Oryctolagus cuniculus: one gene and its partners. The main gene of each other region encodes a partner of the protein of the gene in region 2 in a complex. Links are inferred from orthologs where the notes say so. Each region holds a gene or a part of one and is shown on either strand. Other genes may lie near its edges. The genes, in order: THOC7, THOC3 and CHTOP.

What was found.
Region 1: THOC3 (region 2) and THOC7 share a complex: the UniProt entries of both Homo sapiens proteins name them as parts of the transcription/export (TREX) complex. The link is inferred for Oryctolagus cuniculus from reciprocal best matches to the Homo sapiens genes THOC3 and THOC7.
Region 3: THOC3 (region 2) and CHTOP share a complex: the UniProt entries of both Homo sapiens proteins name them as parts of the transcription/export (TREX) complex. The link is inferred for Oryctolagus cuniculus from reciprocal best matches to the Homo sapiens genes THOC3 and CHTOP.

Annotation. Positions count from the first base shown.
Region 1 is NC_091441.1:85,862,387-85,869,106, reverse strand, and holds part of THOC7 (THO complex subunit 7), read right to left. Parts: intron 6,028-6,720; exon of another isoform or gene 4,938-6,027; coding exon 4,820-4,937; intron 3,269-4,819; coding exon 3,141-3,268; intron 2,825-3,140; coding exon 2,738-2,824; intron 443-2,737; coding exon 385-442; intron 1-384. UniProt on the Homo sapiens protein: Component of the THO subcomplex of the TREX complex which is thought to couple mRNA transcription, processing and nuclear export, and which specifically associates with spliced mRNA and not with unspliced pre-mRNA.
Region 2 is NC_091437.1:62,176,710-62,182,941, forward strand, and holds part of THOC3 (THO complex subunit 3), read right to left. Parts: intron 4,801-6,232; coding exon 4,639-4,800; intron 4,520-4,638; coding exon 4,419-4,519; intron 1-4,418. UniProt on the Homo sapiens protein: Component of the THO subcomplex of the TREX complex which is thought to couple mRNA transcription, processing and nuclear export, and which specifically associates with spliced mRNA and not with unspliced pre-mRNA.
Region 3 is NC_091438.1:44,670,476-44,677,831, forward strand, and holds the start of CHTOP (chromatin target of PRMT1 protein), read right to left. Parts: upstream 4,600-7,356; 5' UTR 4,297-4,599; exon of another isoform or gene 4,284-4,296; intron 3,015-4,283; 5' UTR 2,998-3,014; coding exon 2,933-2,997; intron 1,610-2,932; coding exon 1,456-1,609; intron 1-1,455. Other genes in the region: S100A1 (protein S100-A1), read right to left, coding at 5,770-5,913, 6,382-6,522. UniProt on the Homo sapiens protein: Plays an important role in the ligand-dependent activation of estrogen receptor target genes. May play a role in the silencing of fetal globin genes.

The DNA of each region.
Region 1 (6,720 bases), on a different chromosome or scaffold from region 2:
GTGTGACCCTTCGCTGGCCAGCACGCCCTCCTGCCATGGGATGCTCTGCAATGTTGTGGGAACTGCCATCAGCAACTGAACCACAGGGCTGCCCAACCCTGAACTGCGAGCCTCCAAAACCGGGAGCCAAGATAAACTTCCTTCCTTTATAAGCAGCTTGTCTTGGGTATCTTGTTATAGTAATACAACACTGACTAACAGAGACCCATAGGCAGCGAGGCTGGAGGAAGAAAACTTCAATCGAGCACTATCAGAATCTGTGATACTGAAGATCGAACCTTCCTTTTGAAATGCAGATGTATATCTAAGAGGAAATGCATAGGCTAGCACTCGGAGATTTCTGTATAAACATCGTTGCCTTTCAAGGTAAAGCGCTAAACTTACTTTAATGTCTCATGCCTGTCTGGATGGTGCTGGATCACTTTTGCCAAAGCATCATATTCTGAAAGACATAAAAATATTTACCAAACTAAGGTATTTTGAATCTGTATTATGAAAACAAAACAGATAATACCACAAGTCTCCCCTAAATGTTTCCCTAATACCTAAAGAGAGGAAAAAATTGAGAGATGGAAAGAGTATTGCCAGAATTGGAAAAAATAAAGAGTATTGACAAAATGCATTCAACCATAACTGGAATGACATGTAACCATCGAACATGTTCCAAACAGGATTTAAACTCCTAATTCTGTTTTTAATTTCTATTTTCTAGAAGGAATATAAGAGGTCAGCATATGCATAAATGATCAGCGAATCGTCAAGCGGGCTGATTCTATATGCACTATCTACCCAGAAGAGGAATGATGGAGGAGGGAGGAGTATGAGGAGGAGGATGAAGAGGAAGAAGAAGGAGAAGGAGAAGGAGGAGGGGGAGAGAAGTGGAGGAGGCGGAGGAAGGAAGTGGGGGTCGGAACACCAGGGAGAGTAAGAGGAGGAGGGGAACGAGGAGGGGAAGGAGAGACGGAGGAGGACAAATATAACAATACAGTGAGGTAAATATTTCCCAACATTAACTTAGTCAACAGCAAATATACTTCTCATTCATTTTGATTTCAGAAGCTAAGAAATAATTTAAAATTCAGGCCCTTGTTTCTGCTTCACTAAGGCCTCCAGGGTAAGTCATGTAGTTCCTGGTAATCTTTCTTTCGAAAGAAGAAATGGAGGATCCTCTTAGAATCCTTATTAACCAAAAAACAAAAACAAAAACAAAACAAAACAAAACCACTTCCTGAATATATTTTTAAATGATTTTAGAATTGATATTATTAAATACATATATCTCATAGTAAACTGGCCATTGAAATGTCATCATATACATTTTAGACTCACAAAACCTAACTTTTAAAAAGAAAAAATTATCCTGATTAGTTCATTAAAAAATAAAGTTCATTGTGTTGGAACTCAGCATACTAATTCAATAAAGTGAGGCTTTTTATTTAATTTTTTTTTTTACTTACAAAATAATATAGGGTCAGTGTAAAATAAAACAAAACAAAAATGAAAAGAACTTAAGGCATAAAAACACCTCCCCAAATTAATGAATAATATTCTAATTTCCTTCTAGTTTCCATATGTATGTCATAGATGTAATTATACATTTTATCTTTATTTTTTCCAATATACATTATAGAAAGAGCAATGCCGTATCATTAAAATTATTTTCAAATATCTTTTATAAACTCTAAGGACATACTCCAATTTAAAAAAAAAAACAAAATTAGAAAAAGATTACATTTAATTTTCTTATAAATATTAAAAGCCTGTAAATGCTTGCAGTGTACTTAATAAAAACTTATTGTATCTTACTTTCCTTTTTTTTTTTTAAAGATTTATTTGAAAAGCAGAATGACAGAGAGAAAGAGATCTTCTGTCCACTGGTTCACTCCCCAGATGTAGAGCTGGGCCAGGCTGAAGCGCAGAGCCAGAAACTCCATCCTAGTCTCCCAGGTGGTGGCACGGGCCCAAGTATGTGGACCATCATTAGCTGCCTTCCCAGGTACAAATTAGCAGGAAGCTGGATTGGAATCGGATGCATCCGGGACTTGATCCAGTGCTATCGTAAACATCCCGTATCATAAACAGATTTTTAACTCACTGTACCACAATGCTGGCCCCTCATTTTTTTTAAAAGTTGCTTCATTAAGTAAATAAAATTGTGACACAGCAGTTTAGGCTGCTTGGGATACCTGCATCCCCTACCTGAGCACTGGTCTGGGTCCCAGTGCTCTGCTTCTGGTCCAGTCATCCACTAATGTGCTTGAAAGGCAGCAGATGACGGCTCCAGAGTTTGTGCCCCTGCCACCCACGTGGGAGGTTTGATGGCCTGGCCCAGCCCTTCTGCTGCTTCCATTTCAGGGCCGAACCAGCAGACAGAAGATTTCTCTTTTCCCCTGTCACTCTTACAAATAAATTTTAAAAGTAATAATAATAAAAAAACCCTCTAAATCTATTGTACTGATGTAAATCACCTTCATTGATTAACCATAACATTATTTCAGCAAAGAGGTATGAAAACAGTAAAAATACTTAAGGCATACTTGGACAATTAACACAAATTCAGTAATAACTTTCTTTAATCAAAGACTTCCTTCTCCATATTAAAGAATAATACTGTATTAAAGGACTGAATTCCTAATTTCTTTTTATACTTTAGCTGCAGATTTTACAATATTAAAAACTGTACAACATATTAGTCATTAATAAAGTATGTGCACAATAAATCCCTCAAAACCCTTACCTTGGCGATTTTTTCGTATTCGTTTTGCTTGAAGAATCTGTTTTTTGCACTCAGCAATTTTTTCATGTGCTCCAGCAATGCTACATTCTATACAAAATGGTTTTATAACATAGTTATAAAAGCATGTATAATTTCAATCCATTTTCAATTTTAAAATGTGCTTCTACATAAGTTCCACTGCTAATAGAACACACACCGGCATTTAAAATAATAGCTAAACCTAAAATATGGTATCATTTTAGAATACAGCTTTTTGTAGCTAACACTTACGGTATTATTTTTATTAATATGATAATGATAATTATTCTTTTACCATCAATCAAAACAGTTATTGCAAATAGTGTTTTCTTTAGGTCATAAAACACATTTACAAAGAAATAATAATCACTTCAACTTTCCTTACCTATTTCTTTATAAATTTTTTCATAATTTTCCATTTCTCTGAGATTCATATCATATACCAGTAATGTTTTGCCCATTGAAAATTCACATTGCGACAGTGTGCTCAGCATACGTTGGTATTGGCTGTATCTAATGAAAAACAGAGAGACAGGACAAAGAGGTTTTTGAATTGCCAAAACTGCAGGCAAAGACTTGTTAATGAAATTAGACCAAGTTCTGAGAAAATTATTTATTTTATTTAAAATAATTTAGAGTATCTGTTCCTTTTTTTTTCTTTTTTTTAAGATTTATTTAGTTACTTGAATGGCAGAGTTACAGAGAGAGGGTAACAGAGAGAAATCTTTGATCTGCTATTTCATTCCCCAAATGGCCACAATCGCCAGGCCAAAGCCAGAAGTCCTGAACTCCATATGAGTGTCCCAGATGGGTGGCAGGGACCCAGGTAGTTGGGCCATCTTTTGCTGCTTTCCCGGGTGCATTAGGAGGAAGCCGGATCAGATGTGGAGCAGCCAGGACTTGAACTGGCACTCATATGGGATATTACAGGCATCAGGTTAACCAACTGCACCCTGAGTTCCTGCTCCTTATGTTTTTATTTTCCTAATAGTACTCGAATTTATAAGTTGGTTTGGTTACAAATGCCAAGATGAAAATGTTGATCTTATCAATACAGGCTTATTTCAAACAACTATTTGCATGGCTGGCCTTGTGGCATAGCAGGTAAAGCTGCCATTTACGATGCTGATGTTCCATATGGGTAATGGTTTGAGTCGTGGCTGCTCTACTTCTGATCCAGTTCCTTGATAATGCATCTGGGAAAACCGAGGATGATGGCCCAACTGCTACGGTGTCTATACCCATGTGAGAGAACAGGATGGAGTTCCTGGCTCCTAGTTTTGGCCTGGCCCAACCCTAACTATTACAGCAATTCAGGGAGTGAACCAGCAGATGAAAAATCTCTCTGTCTCTTACTCTGTACCTCTGCCTTTCAAATAAATGAATGAAATCTTTAAAAATAAGCAAAAATACTTTAGAAAATATATTAATTATTGAATTCAAAGAAGGAAAATTTTTCTATGCTAAAAAAGACTACATATATTCTATATTTTAATATATGTTAATATATACATTCTATGGCAACTTTCTGTTAATGATAAGAAAATTTCATTTATTTTGTCTTGCTAAATACTTAACTGTTAAAAGTGACCAAATTAATGAGCCTAAGTTTAATTTTCTTCTTACCAATTTGCCTTCTGCATGTTTTAATAAATATACAGGTGGCAGAGGCAGTTGCTGTGGAGCAGGGTTAGACACCAGCACCCCACCCTGGAGTGCCGGTTCAAGTCCTGGCTCCTCCATTTCCAATCTAGCTTCCTGCTAATGCACTTGGGAAGACAGTAGATGATGACTTGAGCCCCTGCTTCCTCCTGGCTTCAGCCTGGCCCTACACTAGCTGTAGGGGGCATTTGGGGAGTGAACCAGCAGATAAAGATAAATAAATAAGCATTAAAAAATAATATAAAGGAGGACTATGAAGAGAAGGCCAGAAAAATCCACTCTTGAGTAAACAAAATTTGACTCAAGTGGACATCTAAGGTGAGTGAAAATGTGAAATATTAACAATACCTTAACAAAATCACATCAGAACATTGGCAGAGAAACAACAATGAATTGAAATACCCCTCTTCCTGAGATCCAGAGTTGCACCACTTAATGAAACTCTTCACCAGCAGATTAATTCTCCGGTCATCTCCTGCTCCATCTCCATCAATGAGGAGACGCTTCCGTATGACTTCGTCTGGGGGAAAGAAGGCCAGTATGAATCAGTGACCATCTGGCTCCTCGGGACTTTCAAGGGGCAACCAATGTCATGACTCATATTCACTCAAAAGTCAATCACTGAAATATAAATGTACTTAAAGCCACTGAACTGTACATTTAAAAATAAAAATGGTAGGGCCAGTCTTGTGGCACAGTGGGTAAAGCTGCTCTCTGTGACAACGGCATCCTATATGCATGCCAGTTTGTGTCCTGGCTGCTCCACTTTCAATCCAGCTCCCTGCTAATGGCCTGGGAAAAGCATCAGAGGATGGCCTAGGTGTTTGGGCCACGTGCCATCCACGTGGGAGACCCTGTCTTTCTCTCTTTAAACACTGCCTTCCTTTTGCCCCAAGGAAAAGAAAAAGCAAAAAAGGAATAGAAAGGCAGTGCAAATGATAATGACTAGTAACAAGCAGGGCCCCAATCTGCCTGCCTGGCAGCCCTGAGCCACTAATCTTGCCTGAACAAAATAATACTGGGTTATAACAAGAGAAAGGCAAACCGATTCCAAGGTAAGATACCATTTTTTAATCTTATCATGTTGGCAAGGATCAAAGACCTGATAGCAAGAGTGCTAACAAGGGTGTTTGGAAACTGCACTTACATATGCTAATGGAATGCAAACTGGTACACTCATCCGGGGTCACTGGACAATAACAGGCAAAATTAAAGTGCACACGCATTCCTGACTCCGTAATTCCAATTCTAGGAAGTCATCCTCTAGACATAAGCGTACTCGGCACAGACAGATAAAAGGGATGTTTTAACAGTGCTGTTTGTAGTAAAAAGACTGCAAACCTCCACACTCACCAGTTAAGAGACTGGTTAAAATTATGAATCCTTCATATACTCCAAGAGTGTGTAATGAAAAGTACAGACATATACTGACACCAGAAAAAAAAAATCCCCTTAAATATGTTACAATGAAAACAAAACAGGTGCAAGTACGCCACCACACTTGCAGAAAAGGGGTTGGCACTGCATGGCGTGCGTGACTACACCTGCATGTGTGTATTCAGAGAATATCTCTGGAATGATCCTCAAAAGCCTGGTTTCAGAGGTTCTTTCTAATGAGAGGGAAGACAAAAAGAAGTGAGAAAAGACAAAATTTTCTGAAATGCGTTTGTAGTCGCTGGTTGTCTTTTTGTTTTTGTTTTTCTTTTTGAACCATAGGCATGCACAGTTTCAAAAAATACATTAAGTGTGAACAATTCCTGGAGAGCCTACATGATGAATCAACAGCAAAATCTTTAAACAACAGTTCCTGTGTGTAGGCAGAAGTATTTTTGAGCGCAGGTGCAATAGAGAGAAACTTTGGAAGGCAGATGGTTCCAGTTTTAAAATATATTCTGTGATAACATCAGATATACATTTTTAGAGCTGGGTTTGGTTGTCAGAGTCAAGGCTTTGGAAGATTGCTGACGCTAGATTCATCAGGTGTTTACAGTTTACATTTTAATAACACAGATGAATGCTTTTTGGATTTAAATCACCAATGTTTTTTGGAGAAACTGACACATAAAACAGAGCTTGATAAGATAAAAATGCACAAAATGAACTGGTTTTAGTTTTGCTGTCTGTACTACAAATGTCTTAAGTTATTAAAATAAAAGGAAACATCCATTGGTTGAGGTAATCCGGTGGCACTGGTGCACTTCAATAATTCCTTTGTTGGTCTTTTTCTGCCTTTTTTTCAAGTCTCCTCAAACCCAATGTTCTTTCCAGATTCTAGGGCCTCCTGCTTTATGCATTCAAAACAC
Region 2 (6,232 bases):
CACCAGGTCACCTGCCGGAGGAGGACCCTGAGGCAGAGCCACAGGGCAGCAGGATGCGAGGGCAGGCACCTCCTGGCCTCAGAACGCGAGCAGCTTCCTTCGCTCAACACCTCAAGCACCAGAGAGTTCAGGAAACACAAGGGACCCAGCAAGGCACAGAATCTGAAACCTCGCCGCATAGAATGACAGCACAGCCGCCCTGCGAGCAAGCAGCACGCACAGCACACAATCAGTCTGTTTCCACAGCCACAGACCTTCCTACTGAACGATGCCTCCCAAATGGGTTTTTCTTTTCCAAAAGCTTTCTCTCTCCAACTTATTGAAATTACACATGATCTATTCTTCTAGTTCTGATTAACTTTTTATCAGGGTTACAATCAACACAGTAAAATGCTTACACTTTGGTTTGGTATTAACATAAAAATACAGGGGTCGGAGCCATGGTGCTGCCTGTGATGCTAGCATCACATATGAGCACTGGTTTGAGTCCAGGCTGTTCCATTTCCAATCAGCTCCTTACTAATGTACCTGGGAAATGCAGTGGAAGATGGCCCAAGTACTTGGGATCCCTGCCCTGGCACCCGGGAGATCCGGAAGAAGCTCCTGGCTCCTGGCTTTGGCCTGGTCCAGCCCTGGCCATTGCAGCCATTCGGGGAGTGAACCAGCAGTAGGCAGAAGATCTCTCTCTCTCCCTCTCCCTGTCACTCTGCCTTTCAAATAAATATATTTTTAAAAAAATATATACACGGCCGGCGCCGCGGCTCACTAGGCTAATCCTCCATCTTGCGGCGCTGGCACACCGGATTCTAGTCCCGGTCAGGGCGCCGGATTCTGTCCCGGTTGCCCCTCTTCCAGGCCAGCTCTCTGCTGTGGCCAGGGAGTGCAGTGGAGGATGGCCCAAGTGCTTGGGCCCTGCACCCCATGGGAGACCAGGAGAAGTACCTGGCTCCTGTCATCGGATCAGCACGGTGCGTGGGCTGTAGCACACCGGCCGCGGCGGCCATTGGAGGGTGAACCAACAGCAAAGGAAGACCTCTCTCTCTCTCTCTCACTGTCCACTCTGCCTGTCAAAAAAAAAACAAAAAAACATAAATAAATAAATAAATAAATAAAGGCAGCACACATGAAACAGTATACTTCAAACTGATCAACTCTATGGTAGGCAGATTACATCTCAATAAAGCTATTAAATATATATCTATATTCATTTGTGGGTATTTAGACATATATAAATACATAACACACTTTACAGAACTCTGCTCCGGGGACAGGTCACGTTTTCCCTAGCAGAAATTCTCCACAATGCCAGCATCTGGCTGTCTGCAGCTTTGTCTGAACAAACGTCTGACTCACACAGACATAAAGAGTGCTTCTGCGGCTGCTACATCTCTTTTATTTCTCTTGAGACCTTTAACTCCATGTCCTTTGTTATCGGATTGGCTAAAATAAAGAAGTCTGTGCAGTTCAAAAAAACCAAACCAGACTTGAAGAGGCCTTCTAAAATGTTTCCCAAGTAACCACGTGGCTTCACACGCGTAAGCACCTTGATAAGGTATCAGAGCTTCATCTCTGAATTACAGTGCTCTTACTATTACTATCACATTTCTATTTCAGACCACCGAAGTCTAGACAAACAGATGCAGAGTTATGGTATGTCTCAAATGCTAAAATAGCTGGATTATTTTAAAATGAGCTTCTGGTAAATATGATATCAGGAATAAAATGAATTTTTCTTGGTTTTAAATTGAACCATTAAAAATATGCCTGTAAACTCTTAGATGCAAAATTGTGTCTCACGACTCCAACAGCAAAAAATACAAATAGAGAGGGAAAAAGAGGCCCTAAAAGGGTACAGTGTTTGGCCTCACAATTCAGGTGTAGCTTAGGATGCCACAGCCCATATGAAAGCCTGGGTTAGCATCTTGGCTCCATTCCTAATGCCAGCTTCCTGCTAAAGCACACCCAAGCAAATAATGGCTCAAGTGACTGGGTCCCTGCCAAGCACAAGGGAGATGTAAACTGAGTTCCAGACTCCAAGCTCCAGGCTTCAGCCTAGGCCAGCCCCAGCCTCTGCAAACATTTGGGAAATGAACCAGCAAATGTGAGCTCTGTCTGTTTCTGTCTCTCTGGCTCTCAAAAAAATAAGTACAAGGTGGAAACATGGTGTAGCACTTACGATACCACTTGAGATGCCCAGATCACATACTGGCGGGCCTGGGTTCCAGTCCCAGATCTGCTTCTGAGTCCAGCTTCCTGCTAACATGCACCCTGGGAAGGCCCAAGTAGTTGGATTCCTGCCATCTGGGTTGTGGGAGACCCAGAGTCCCTGTCTCCTCACTTTGGCCTAGTCCAAGCCCAGCTATTGTGAGCATTTGGGGAGATGGAAGATCTCTGTCTGTCTCTCAAAAATAAGTAAATAAGCAAGCAAGCAAGATGCCTTTTTTTTAAAGAAGAAAAATACCTGAAGAAAATATATCATAATATCAGCAATGATTATTTCCTAATTACAGACCTATGAGTGACGGCTAATTTCTTTTCTGTATTTCCAGCATTTTCCAACTACTCTATAATGAGCACCTATCACTCTTAATTCGCAAATATATGCCTACTGCATAAAAGTCAGGGTTCCAGGGTATGAAAGCAGTGCTCCACAACAGAAATCGCAATGGAACCTACTTGGACAGTTCCATCTGTCCAACACTGCAGCCCCTGACCACGTGTGCTTCCTGTGTCCTCGAAATGTGCCCAGGCTAATGAAGGAACTCAACCTTTCATTTTGTTTACTCAGTTTCAGTAATAATATTTAAATGAACAATTTACAATTGACCCTTTTCCCTATTGCAATCTTCTCTCAACTTTCTAAGAACAATATAAATTCTTCCAAAAGTTGTTCTGTCGATTCAACTTTAGCTCTTTACCTGCACAGGAACACAACTCAAGCACAGCCCGGCCAACCTGCTTTGCTCAGTCAGCAACACGACTTGCAGGTCTGCCACTTCAGCACATACACAGCTAGGTGCACCGTGATACGACTGTGTCACAACCCAATTATTCCCTTCACAGGGAAAATTTAGACCGCTTCCCATGTACCGTTACTATAATGTAAAGAATATAATTGTGTTTTCCTTCAGTAATTGTTTTGCTTTTAAGTTTTAACCTGGGTTACAGAGAAAATTTTTTAAATGTTAGAAAGTAGTTTGCTATTGCTTCTCGGCCTTTTGGCTAAGATCAAGTGTAAAAGGCATTTTGCTGAACTAGTTAGAAAAAGTAATACAGCTGCATCTGATATATATTCCTGAAAGGGTGCGTGTGAATGAAATCATGCATTACCCCTACCAGGTAAAAGAAACTCACACAGCGGTGGAAGCACACACACATCCCTGCACGCCTCTAAGACCACACTGAAACCACCTTTGTGCATGGCAGACTGGACCTCCACAAAACGTGAGCACCAAGGATGCAGCAACCCAGCCCGGCGCTCAGAAGGCAGCTCCCACGTGCAACATGAAGCACGGGACGGACGGGACGGATGTGACCGATGCTCCTCCCCTCATCACTGACAGCAGCGCAAGGGCCAGAGGCCACCAGACAGGAAGAGTTAAGCAAATTCTGGTACAATGGAGTTCGACACCCTGTTCAAAGTGACCAGGTGGAATTCAGGTGCCACCGCCTTGGGCAGAAGCTGACGCCCTGCCGGGAGCCAGGCGGACAGCAGGTCCCAGCGCAGCAGCAGAGTGCCTCTGACTGCACCGTGCAGATGCAGGGCGGCAGAGAGGCCCTGCCCGGCCACCGCGCTCCCAGCGTGGTAACGGCAGCATCACTGCAGCCCTCTCTACACGGTGGAATTTCAAGTGCTTTACTTTCTTCTTGGAAGTTTCCTCTACAGTTCTGAACTGTCACTTGTCTCTAAAAACAATACAGCCACATTTAAACACAAATTGAAAGGGAATCATTTTGTAAAATGAATACTCTTCTTATTTCCCTATCTTTAACAGGTTTTGTTGTTTTTCAAACAAAAACTTTGGTAATTCCTGAAATTATCTTTAAAAAGGCTTTCTTTTTTAACCTTCCATGTAAACACAGAGAGAAACATACCCGATGTTTTAAAGGGGTGTATTTAGATGGTGGGACACAGGGCATGCTTTCTTCTTCCTCCTATTTTCTGAATTCTAAAAACTGCATCATAATGGAAGAATTAAAAGCTGATACAATGTGAAATATTTTCCTAAATCACTCTCCTTCAGACCTGTTTCTTTCCGAACCCTCTGCTCTCTCATGGCCTGGCGGTGGCAGTCCTAACATACAGACTGATCTTAAGAGACAAATTCAGAGCTGGTAATGCCAGAGAAGCAGTGATATGCAGAGCCAGGAGAAGTCCTGACGGTCAGGGATGAGACACAGCGTGCCTGCTGCATTACCTGTCTCTACTTCAGCGATGTCGATAAAATGATCTTCCGATGCAGACGCCAGCATTTTCCCATCGTGACTGAAACTGAGAGTCCTCACGGGCCAATCCAGCCTACAGCACAGGGCAGACAGACAGACAGCAGAATCACCCACCAAGAGGAGGCTACACTCCCACCCAGGATGAAATCGGCTAATTCACCCAGCCAGGGAAGTGCTGGCAGAATCGCTTACCGGGAAAAGCACCGGACACACACTAACTCGTCCACATCCCACAGGCTGACCAAAGCGTCTGCACTCCCTGTAGCGAAGTACTTCCCCATGGGGTCAAACTTGATGCAGATGCAGTTGGAGGGATGGGCATTGATGGACTGCACAGGCTTCAGCTCCGGGTAGCTGAGGAACAAAACACGCAGCAGTCACACTGCAGAAGGGCACTGCGGCTCTAAGACAGCAACAGGAAACACGGAGGCGGAGCGGCAACCGAGGGAACTGAATAGTTCCAGAAGCTGTAACTCAAGAAAGAAAGCTTTCCAGAACTACAAGGATTCAAACCACATACTGGACGAGCACAAGGCCTCCCTGAGAATGTGAATCCAGCCCCTCTCACAGCAAGATAGACTAGAAAAATTACCTGCCTTCAAAGAAAGAGAATACTAGAATATCATCCGACTTTTTGACAGCAACATTTTATGTCAAAAGAAAACGGACCAACAGAAGCAAGAAAGTATGAGTTGCATTTCTCTATCCACCAAGACTACCACATATAAATACAAGAAGCACACTAAAGCACCCGTATGTTTTGAGAGGTGGAGAGAGACAGAGAGGGAACAGGCACTCCCATCCCCTGGGCTCCCTCCCCAAACACCCTCAATGGCTGAGTCTAAGAACCAAGAACTCAGTTCAGGTTGCCCATGCCACTGTCAGGAACCCAACTATTTGAGCAATATAACCTGCTGTCTCCTGAGGTGCACCTTAGCAAGAAGCTGGGATCAAGAGTGGAGTCAGGGGGCCGGCACTGTGGCGTAGCGGGTAAAGCTGCCACCTGTGGTGCCGGCATCCCATATGGGCGCCAGTTTTGAGTCCTGGCTGCTCCACTTCCCATCCAGCTCTCTGCGATGGCCTGGGTCCTTGGGCCCCTGCACCCACACGGGAGACCCAGAAGAAGCTCCTGGCTCCTGGCTTCGGATCGGCGCAGCTCCAGCTATTGCATCTGAGAAGTGAACCAGCAGATGGAAGACCCCCCCCTCCGCCTCTCAAATAAATAAATATTTTTTTAAAAAAAGGGTGGCGTCAGGACTTGAACCCAGGCTCTCCGATACTGTATATGGGTGTCTTAACCAGTTTCCACTGGGCCAAATGCCCACCCTCTTATCCTTCTGATAAATGTACTCCTTTACATGGAAAGCAAAGACACTCTGGCAAAAAAAAAAAAAAAAAAAAAAAAAAAAAAAAAAAAATGACCTAAGTGAAAGATCTCCGCGAGTGAGATCCCAGTGGAAAGAACGGGCCATCGAAGAAGGAGGTATCTTTCTCTGAAGGGAGGAGAGAAATTCCACTTTGACTATGACCTTGTCTAAATAAGATCGGAGTTTGTGAACTCAAGAGGCTTCCATAGCCTTGGCAGCTCAAGACAAGAGCCTAGGGTGATTACTGATGCCATAAACAAGAGTGTCAATTGTTAAATCAACAATGGGCGTCACTGTGCACCTGCTCCCCATGTAGGATCTCTGTCCTTAATGTGCTGTACATTATGATTTAATGCTATAACTAGTACTCAAACAGTATTTTTCACTTTGTGTTTCTGTGTGGGTGCAAACTGTTGAAA
Region 3 (7,356 bases), on a different chromosome or scaffold from region 2:
GAAGAGGGGCAACCGGGACAGAATCTGGCGCCCCAACCGGGACTAGAACCTGGGGTGCCGGCGCCGCAAGGCGGAGGATTACCTAGTGAGCTGCGGCGCCGGCCCACCAGTTCTTCCTAATGAGTCAGCTAACCTGCGGATATCCACTCTCCCAAGCTTTCAGTGCTGAGCTGTTCTCCCATTTCAACCTTTAGTTATCGCCAAGACTGATTTCTAACACTGATGGGAACTTACAGATGTCAACTATACCATCCAGTTTTTACAAAGTTGTGCTATAAGGTAGCCACTAGCCACACTGGCTATCTAAATTAAATATAAATAAGAAAAGTTAAGCTCATTTGTACTAGTCACATTTAGTTTAATAGCCACACGTAGCTAGTGGCCACCATACTGGACAGCACCACACTAGAAGCTACCTTCTGCACACCTGTAGCTAAAATTTCTTGTTGAAAGGTCCTTTGGAATGATCTGTCAGAGGCTTTCTTCGGCAATTCTTATGTACTCTTGGAAAATGGTGGTGCCTTTTGTTGCTTTCCTGAGCCAGGGACAGATCGGATCACTTCCAAGGCTTATGGTAGCTGAAGCAGAAAGCCTTGTTTATTTTTGGTCAGTGAGCCCAATGGTTCAGGGTGGGGGTGGGAGGGAGTTATATTTAACTGCTGAATTTATGCACAGCCATGCAGCGCTACCAGTTAAAGTCCTTACAGTTGCATGGCACCGCCCTCCAGACGCCCAGCCACAGCTTGGACATATCCTTCCACAGCCACTGTCCGGACTTGCACATACAGTCTATGAATAATAAAGAGTAGGTTTTATTTCAGATCTGAAAACTATTATCCCTACTCGACATTTTTCTTTTCCCCCCATTTAAAGTTTATTCCTCATGTTTTTAAGCTCCCCGCCCCCCAATTTACTGGAAATTTGAAAAAGAATCCACTGACTCTTAGTTACTCAGTGTTCTAGCTCTACTTTACTGTTTATAATTTTAGGTGCTGTGGACATGAGGGTCACTCTGCTGTATCTTTTACCTTTGACTAGGGCCATTTAGATTTCCTGTGTGAGGGGCGAAAGAATAAAATTATTTCCCTAGTTTATCTATCATTTAGCAGTAAGTAAAGGATGTTTTAAAGATGATCCGAAACAGAAACAAACTTTCTTCATGGAAAAGGCCTTTCATCTACTTTAAGGCTAAAGGACCAGAAACAAAAGCAATTATTAGTCATTGATAACACAAATGGGTCAAACAGATGGCAAACTCCCTAGAAGAGAAGACAATAAAGAAAAAGTTACTTATCAGTACCTGCCAGAGCTGGAATTCTCTGCACTTCTCTTTCAGAGAAGTTCCAGCTTTTGCCCTGAGTCACCTTGGAATCATCCATCAGGTTCTGACAGCCTCAGTGGGCTGCCTGCCTTAGATCACAGCTGCTTCTGGAGCATCAAGACCCATTCTCTCACCTGCTTAAGTTTTAATGCTGCCTGGACAGAGGGTCTATTCTCCATCTGCTGGGCCAGTCTTCTGTTTCTGGCACTGGCTAGCTGCTGTTGTTGCTGCATCGAAGCCCGAATATTCACTGGCATCGGCTGTTTGTTCTTCAGCATATTAGTAAAGCTTCAAGGTCGAACAAAATGGATGTTTAAATAAAAGCTTTATTACAAAACATTTATTGGCATTTTCATGGCTTGCTAGACCAGGAGCTCCAGATCCCACGAACTTTTAAGTAAAGTGGCACACTTAGATCAAAGCTGAAGTGGGTTAAAGACTCCTCTGTTTCGACAAACTTGCAAGAATCAGAAACTCAGAAATGCAGCTAAGTGCAGCACATTCAATCCAAAGTGATAACAAGGGCTCAGGTAATGGCTCTCAGAGAAGTGGAAGGTATGAAAAACACGCAATAAGCAGATATGACAAGAGACAGAAGATGTAATTTCAAAGACAAACAAAGAAAGCTTAAACCTTGGAGGTTTTTGAAAAGAAATATGAGACCAGAACACCTTCAAAACCCATGACAACACCATAGCCATAGAAGTTATAGGAATGCCATCAATTTTTAAATATATTTGTCACTCAGTAACATGTGGATATGGAGGACTAGTGTATCTGAAGAGAGAAGTACATAGGCTCCAGAAAAGGCAAAAGGAGACATTGTAACCTTTTAGTGGTCCAACACTGGTTTAATAAAATCACTGCTCAAAGGTAACTCAGTGAGCAAAGTTCTCAGAGATAGAAACTGCCTTAAATACCTTAACTTTTCTTAGTGTCAAATGATCACTTTTTCTGTCTCCAAGCAGTTATCTTTGGAAATGATTAATTCAATCATTTAAGGGCCCATGAAGACACTCCTTTTTTGTTCTTGTCATGGTTAAGTTTAATGGAATGGAAGAGAAGAACACTTAACTGTAAAAGAATCCAAAGCAAAAACAAACTAAAAGCAGAATGGAAAGAAAAGTGAAATGGAGCAAAGCAAGTGCCTCTTACAAGGCCCAAGAATGACATTCGAGGGCCTTTGGACATAGTCACAGCTTGCTACCTGCCTCTTACAGGCCAGATGCAACACTGCTGGCCTTGGACTAGGCAGCAAGCCTACTGCAGCCAGGGTCCCATGCTCCCATGCTGCACAACCCCTGTATCAACGTGTTCAAAAACAAAAACAAAAACAAAAAAACTTGAAGAAAAGGGAGGGTGTGAGGAGTCTTTTTAAAATACATCCCACTGGATAAATATTTCAGACAGCTTAACATAAAAATCTACTGATAAGGGGTTTTGAAACAACCGCCCAATTTGTTTTGTGCACCACATTAGATGTAACTAAGAACAGAGGTCTGTAGCCTTCTGTTGATATTTAGCTTACAACTGTTTTGTGCATTGGACCCCAGGGCCAATTTAAGTAATGTTTTCTTAGGAAGGAGCTGAAGTTGTTGTTGGCTGCCTCACCGCTCATTCAGAGACATCTTGGTGGTGCTTTTTAGCACAACTTTCGGCGCTGACTGAGCAGCCATCTTCAGATCCCGAGAATCTACAAAGGACAACAGCAGAATGAGCAGGTCAGAATAACAGCCACCTTATACAGAACAAGGCCCAAACCACCGAAAAAGCCTTACCACTGACTCCTGAGGAACACGGGAGGGTACTTCAAAGTTCATGGGAAACGGAATTAAAAGGTAACTTTGCTTTGGTAAGAAATTTTTTAGAATCTATGCATGTAAGGGATCTATCCTGAAAAAGTTTCTGGAGGGGCAGGCATTGTGGTTCAGCTACTCCACCTCCAGAATAGCTCCCTGCAGGCCTGGGAGGCGGCAGGTGATGGCTGAAGTATCTGATCCCTGCCACCCGTTGGAAAACCGGATGGAGATCCTGGTTAATGGCTTCAGCCTGGCCCAGACCTGGCCTTTGTGGCCATCTGGAGAGTAAACCAGCAGATGGAAGATCTCTCTTTCATATACACAAATGCTTAAAAAAAAAGTTTATAGAAACGTATACTACAAAAGACTGCATAGAATGCAAAAATTATTTTGCACCAAAATGTCTTTCAATTCAATTTTCTATAAAATTTTAAAAAGCACCCTCAAATCGAAGCTCACTTCAAGTTTACATGAGAAATTATTCAATTTCAAGGCCAAAAGGCATGTAATATCTGCCAAATGGTCCAAAATGGCAGAAACAGCTCAAGAAGGTGCAAGAGAGTCTGGCTTTCGATCCAGACTCGTCCTTTTCAGCCTGTTTTTCCACAGGGGGCTTTCAAGAAACAGATGCCTGGGCTCAGACCGATCAAACCGCAATCTCTGATGGTGGAGGTCTGGGGCTCATCAATAGGGGCGTGGGGGGAGGGGTAGCTACCCAGGTGCTTCTAATGAGTAGCTGAGGTTGACAGCTGCCGGTTTAGAAAGAAAATACAGGCATGCCTAGTCTCAAAATCGGTTTCCTATTCCCAAGTCAGAACTTAACAACGGACTAAGGATCTGGAGAAAGGAACAGGAAAGGTTCCCTAAACGGGCATTCATCTGGGAGCTGGCTCCCAGGGAGCCCTCTACAGAACTTAACCCTAAGCACGCCACTGTTTCCAACACTAGTCTTCAAAGCCCTGTCAAGACCGCCAACTTTGCTCAACTCGTCCAACGATCTTTCTTTTCCTCGGTACCCAACGACAGCCTCCGTGAACCCCGCCGCGGGGTCGCGGCCGGCGCAGCCCCTCCCCCCTCCGCGGCCCCGCCCCCTCCCCCGCGGTCCCCGCAGCCCACCGCCCCCCATGCGCGTCCGCCGGCTCCTTCCGCTCCCCTTCTCTCACCACAGAGACGCACCGAAGGAAACGGACGCCAGTGCTCCTCCCGGGGCTGCCAGCACGGCTGCGGCAGGGCGGGCCGGGGACCGGCCGAACCTCAGTAATTGACGGTGGAGGGGCTCCGGTTAATTAGATGGGCGGTTGGGTCAGATGCTTAAGTGGTAGACTGCGAGGCTAGTCCGTGGCTGTTGGCTGGCTGTGTCGTTGGCCGACCCGCCTGATCGCCCGGCCTGCCCTTCCCTGCCTTCAGTCTGTGCCACCACAGCTGCCGCCGCCAACTCCCGCTCGCTCTCCAAAACAAAATGGCCGCCACGCCCAGTGCGGCATGGGACCGGCTAAAATGGCGCCGACGCAATTGCGTCAGACGTTGGATCCGCGCACTAGTAGGGGGCGGGGATTTGTCACGCCCTGCGCAGAGCTAGGGGGCGGAGCCCTGGGTGGGAAGGAGGGGCTTTAGAGTTACACAGATGGCTCCGCCCCCGGGGCGTGGCTAGTGGCTTCGCTATTCTAGCGGGTATTAACTGCTACCTCCTGGAGTTGTCAGCGGCCCTGCTCCCAAGAGAGGTTTTAGTCCCGTTAGGAAAGAGTTCGTGTTCCTTCGGGCCTTTCTCCCCACGCCCTTGGCTAAGGCATCATGTTTACAAATCTTAAAGCGGAACCTGCTTTGGTCTCTGGCAATGCCAGAGCCGGGTGATTGGCACTGGTGGCTTTCCCCCGCGCCCCTTCGCTGTTTGGGTCGTGAAGTGCTGCAAAGGCCAGGGCAAGCCAGTGCTGGGGGCACACCTCCTGCCATCCGCCGCAGCCTCCATTGCCCGTCCATGTTTTCCTCTTCCCTGACTTGGCTGTTTTTCAACTCTCCTCTGATCAGGTCCCGGATCCCCCTTCCCCTCCCCTCCCTGGGAATTTAGTGCAGACCTATGAAAGGATTTTCCTTATGGCCACACAATCACGTCCTCAAACGTTGGAGGAAAGAGAGAAAGCACACAGTGGGGGCTTCCTCTACCCTCGCTCTGGGCACTGAGTTGTATGTGTGCATTTTTAGTGGGCCTCTCTCCTTGCTGGACTTCACCCAGTGAGGGTGACCATGGTGTTTATTTTGCTCACTGCTGTATCCCCAGTTCCTGCACAAGGTAGGACCCCTGTAAATATCTGCTGAGGATTGAAAGGAGATTTTTCTGTTTTTACAGCTGGGAAGCAGACGTCTCCCCTTCCAGCTGGAACCTGGAACCCCACTGAGCATTAAGGCAGATGGAATGCACGTGACCTCCCTCCAAAATAAGTGGAGCGAAACCCCTCAGGGCTGCCCTTCCGGACCCACAGGAGACAGACACCAGACGGCTGGCAATAGAGGAGCCTTTAATGAGAGATGAGCTGCAGGGCGGGCCTGCTGCTTGGCGCCCTGGGTGTGTGGGGGAGTGTGAGGTGGTAGCCGGGTGTAGGGGCAGGTCTGGGGGGACGGAGCGGTAGGGCGCTGCCCTCTGGGGCTGTCTGCTCAACTGTTCTCCCAGAAGAAGTTGTTACAGGCCACTGTGAGAGCAGCCACCAGCACCACGTACTCCTGGAAGTCCACCTCCCCGTCTCCGTCCTCGTCCAGTTCCTTCATCACCTTGTCCACGGCATCTGCATCCTTCTGGGCCTGTGGAGGGGGGAGAGAGCGGGAGAGGTGTCCAGCACCGAGTCCAGGGCCAGAGGGTGGTGACGGAGAAGAACGGGGTGGAGATGAGCAAGCGGGAGAGCTACGGCTAACTGGGTCTCCTCGGCTGCCCTTCTCCAAACCCTTCAAACACTGGTGGGCTCCTGCTGCCCACAGAATGCATCCTTAACCTGGCAGAGTTAATGGTGTGTCAGTCTTTCCCTTCCAGACTGCGGAAGCCTTATTACCGATGAGTCTATGTAGGGCTTAGCACTTAACAGGTGATCTATAAACCAGGCGTTTTGACTTCACCCGGGCGTGGGGGAGCCTGGGAAAACCCAGAAGAGAAGCACGAGAGAGGAGAGAGATGGCTGGGCTGAGGTGAGGCGGGGTGGAGAGAGAGACCACAGGGAGGTGCCCACTCCCTTCACCCCTCGCCCACCCCGCCCCGGACGCCCACTCCATGCTCACGTCCAGGAAGCCGGAGAGCTCCGTCTGCAGCAGCTCCTTCAGTTCTTTCTTGCTCAGCTTGTACTTGTCCCCCTCCTTGCCCGAGTGGGCGTGGAACACATTGATGAGGGTCTCCATTGCCGTCTCCAGCTCAGAGCCCATTGTGGCAGTGCACCTACCCCCCAGGCCCCCCAGAGCGAGGCAGTGAGCTGGGGACCAGGTCTAGGGTGTCTGGGGTTTGGGTGAGGGAAGCCTTCAGGCCTGGCCTTGGTCCCACAGCTCAGAACAGCTGTGAGATTGGAGTCCTGTTGCCTCTTATCTTTCTCTGAACTTGTACCTTGCAGGGAGACCCTGACACCTAAATTATCAGACCTGTGCTCTGTAGCCGAGCCAGAGAGCCAGGTTGGGGCATAGAGACACAGCCGCTGGCGCTGGTGGGCTCCAGAGGCCTGCAGTGGACACTCGCAATGGCTCCTGGCCGCCTGGACAGAGGCTGCTGAGGGTGGGGCAGGCAGGATGGTCACAGGACCAGTCTGGCTTCCTCTGGCTCCGTTTTCTATTTTTACCCTGGACCTTGCCTGCTGAGTGCAGCTAAGCTCTTCTGTGGGGGGTGGTGGGCTGGGGTCTCCTCTAAAGCCTACTCTGCCACCACCCTTAGTGTTTGGTAGTCTCTTTGGTACTTGGGTGGTACCTGATGGCAGGAGTGGCAGCCGGCTCGGGGGCCCCCAGGCCTCTTGGGCAGGGAGTCTCACTGCTTCCCAGCCACCTGTCAGCAGCTGGGCCCCCTTTGGTCCTTCAGCTCATTCTCCTGAACAGAGTCCTTGGGGCTTCTCTGGGGCACACTTCCCACGATCTCCAGGCTGTTTCCTCTGACTTCTCTGTAAAACCATCCCACCTCGGGGATGGGCGATGGGATGGGAAGGGAAGGAGGAATGTGCAGGCCTTTGCCCAGGCTCCAGGGCTCCCAGGGAGGGGAAGAGGAGACCTGGAGGCCAG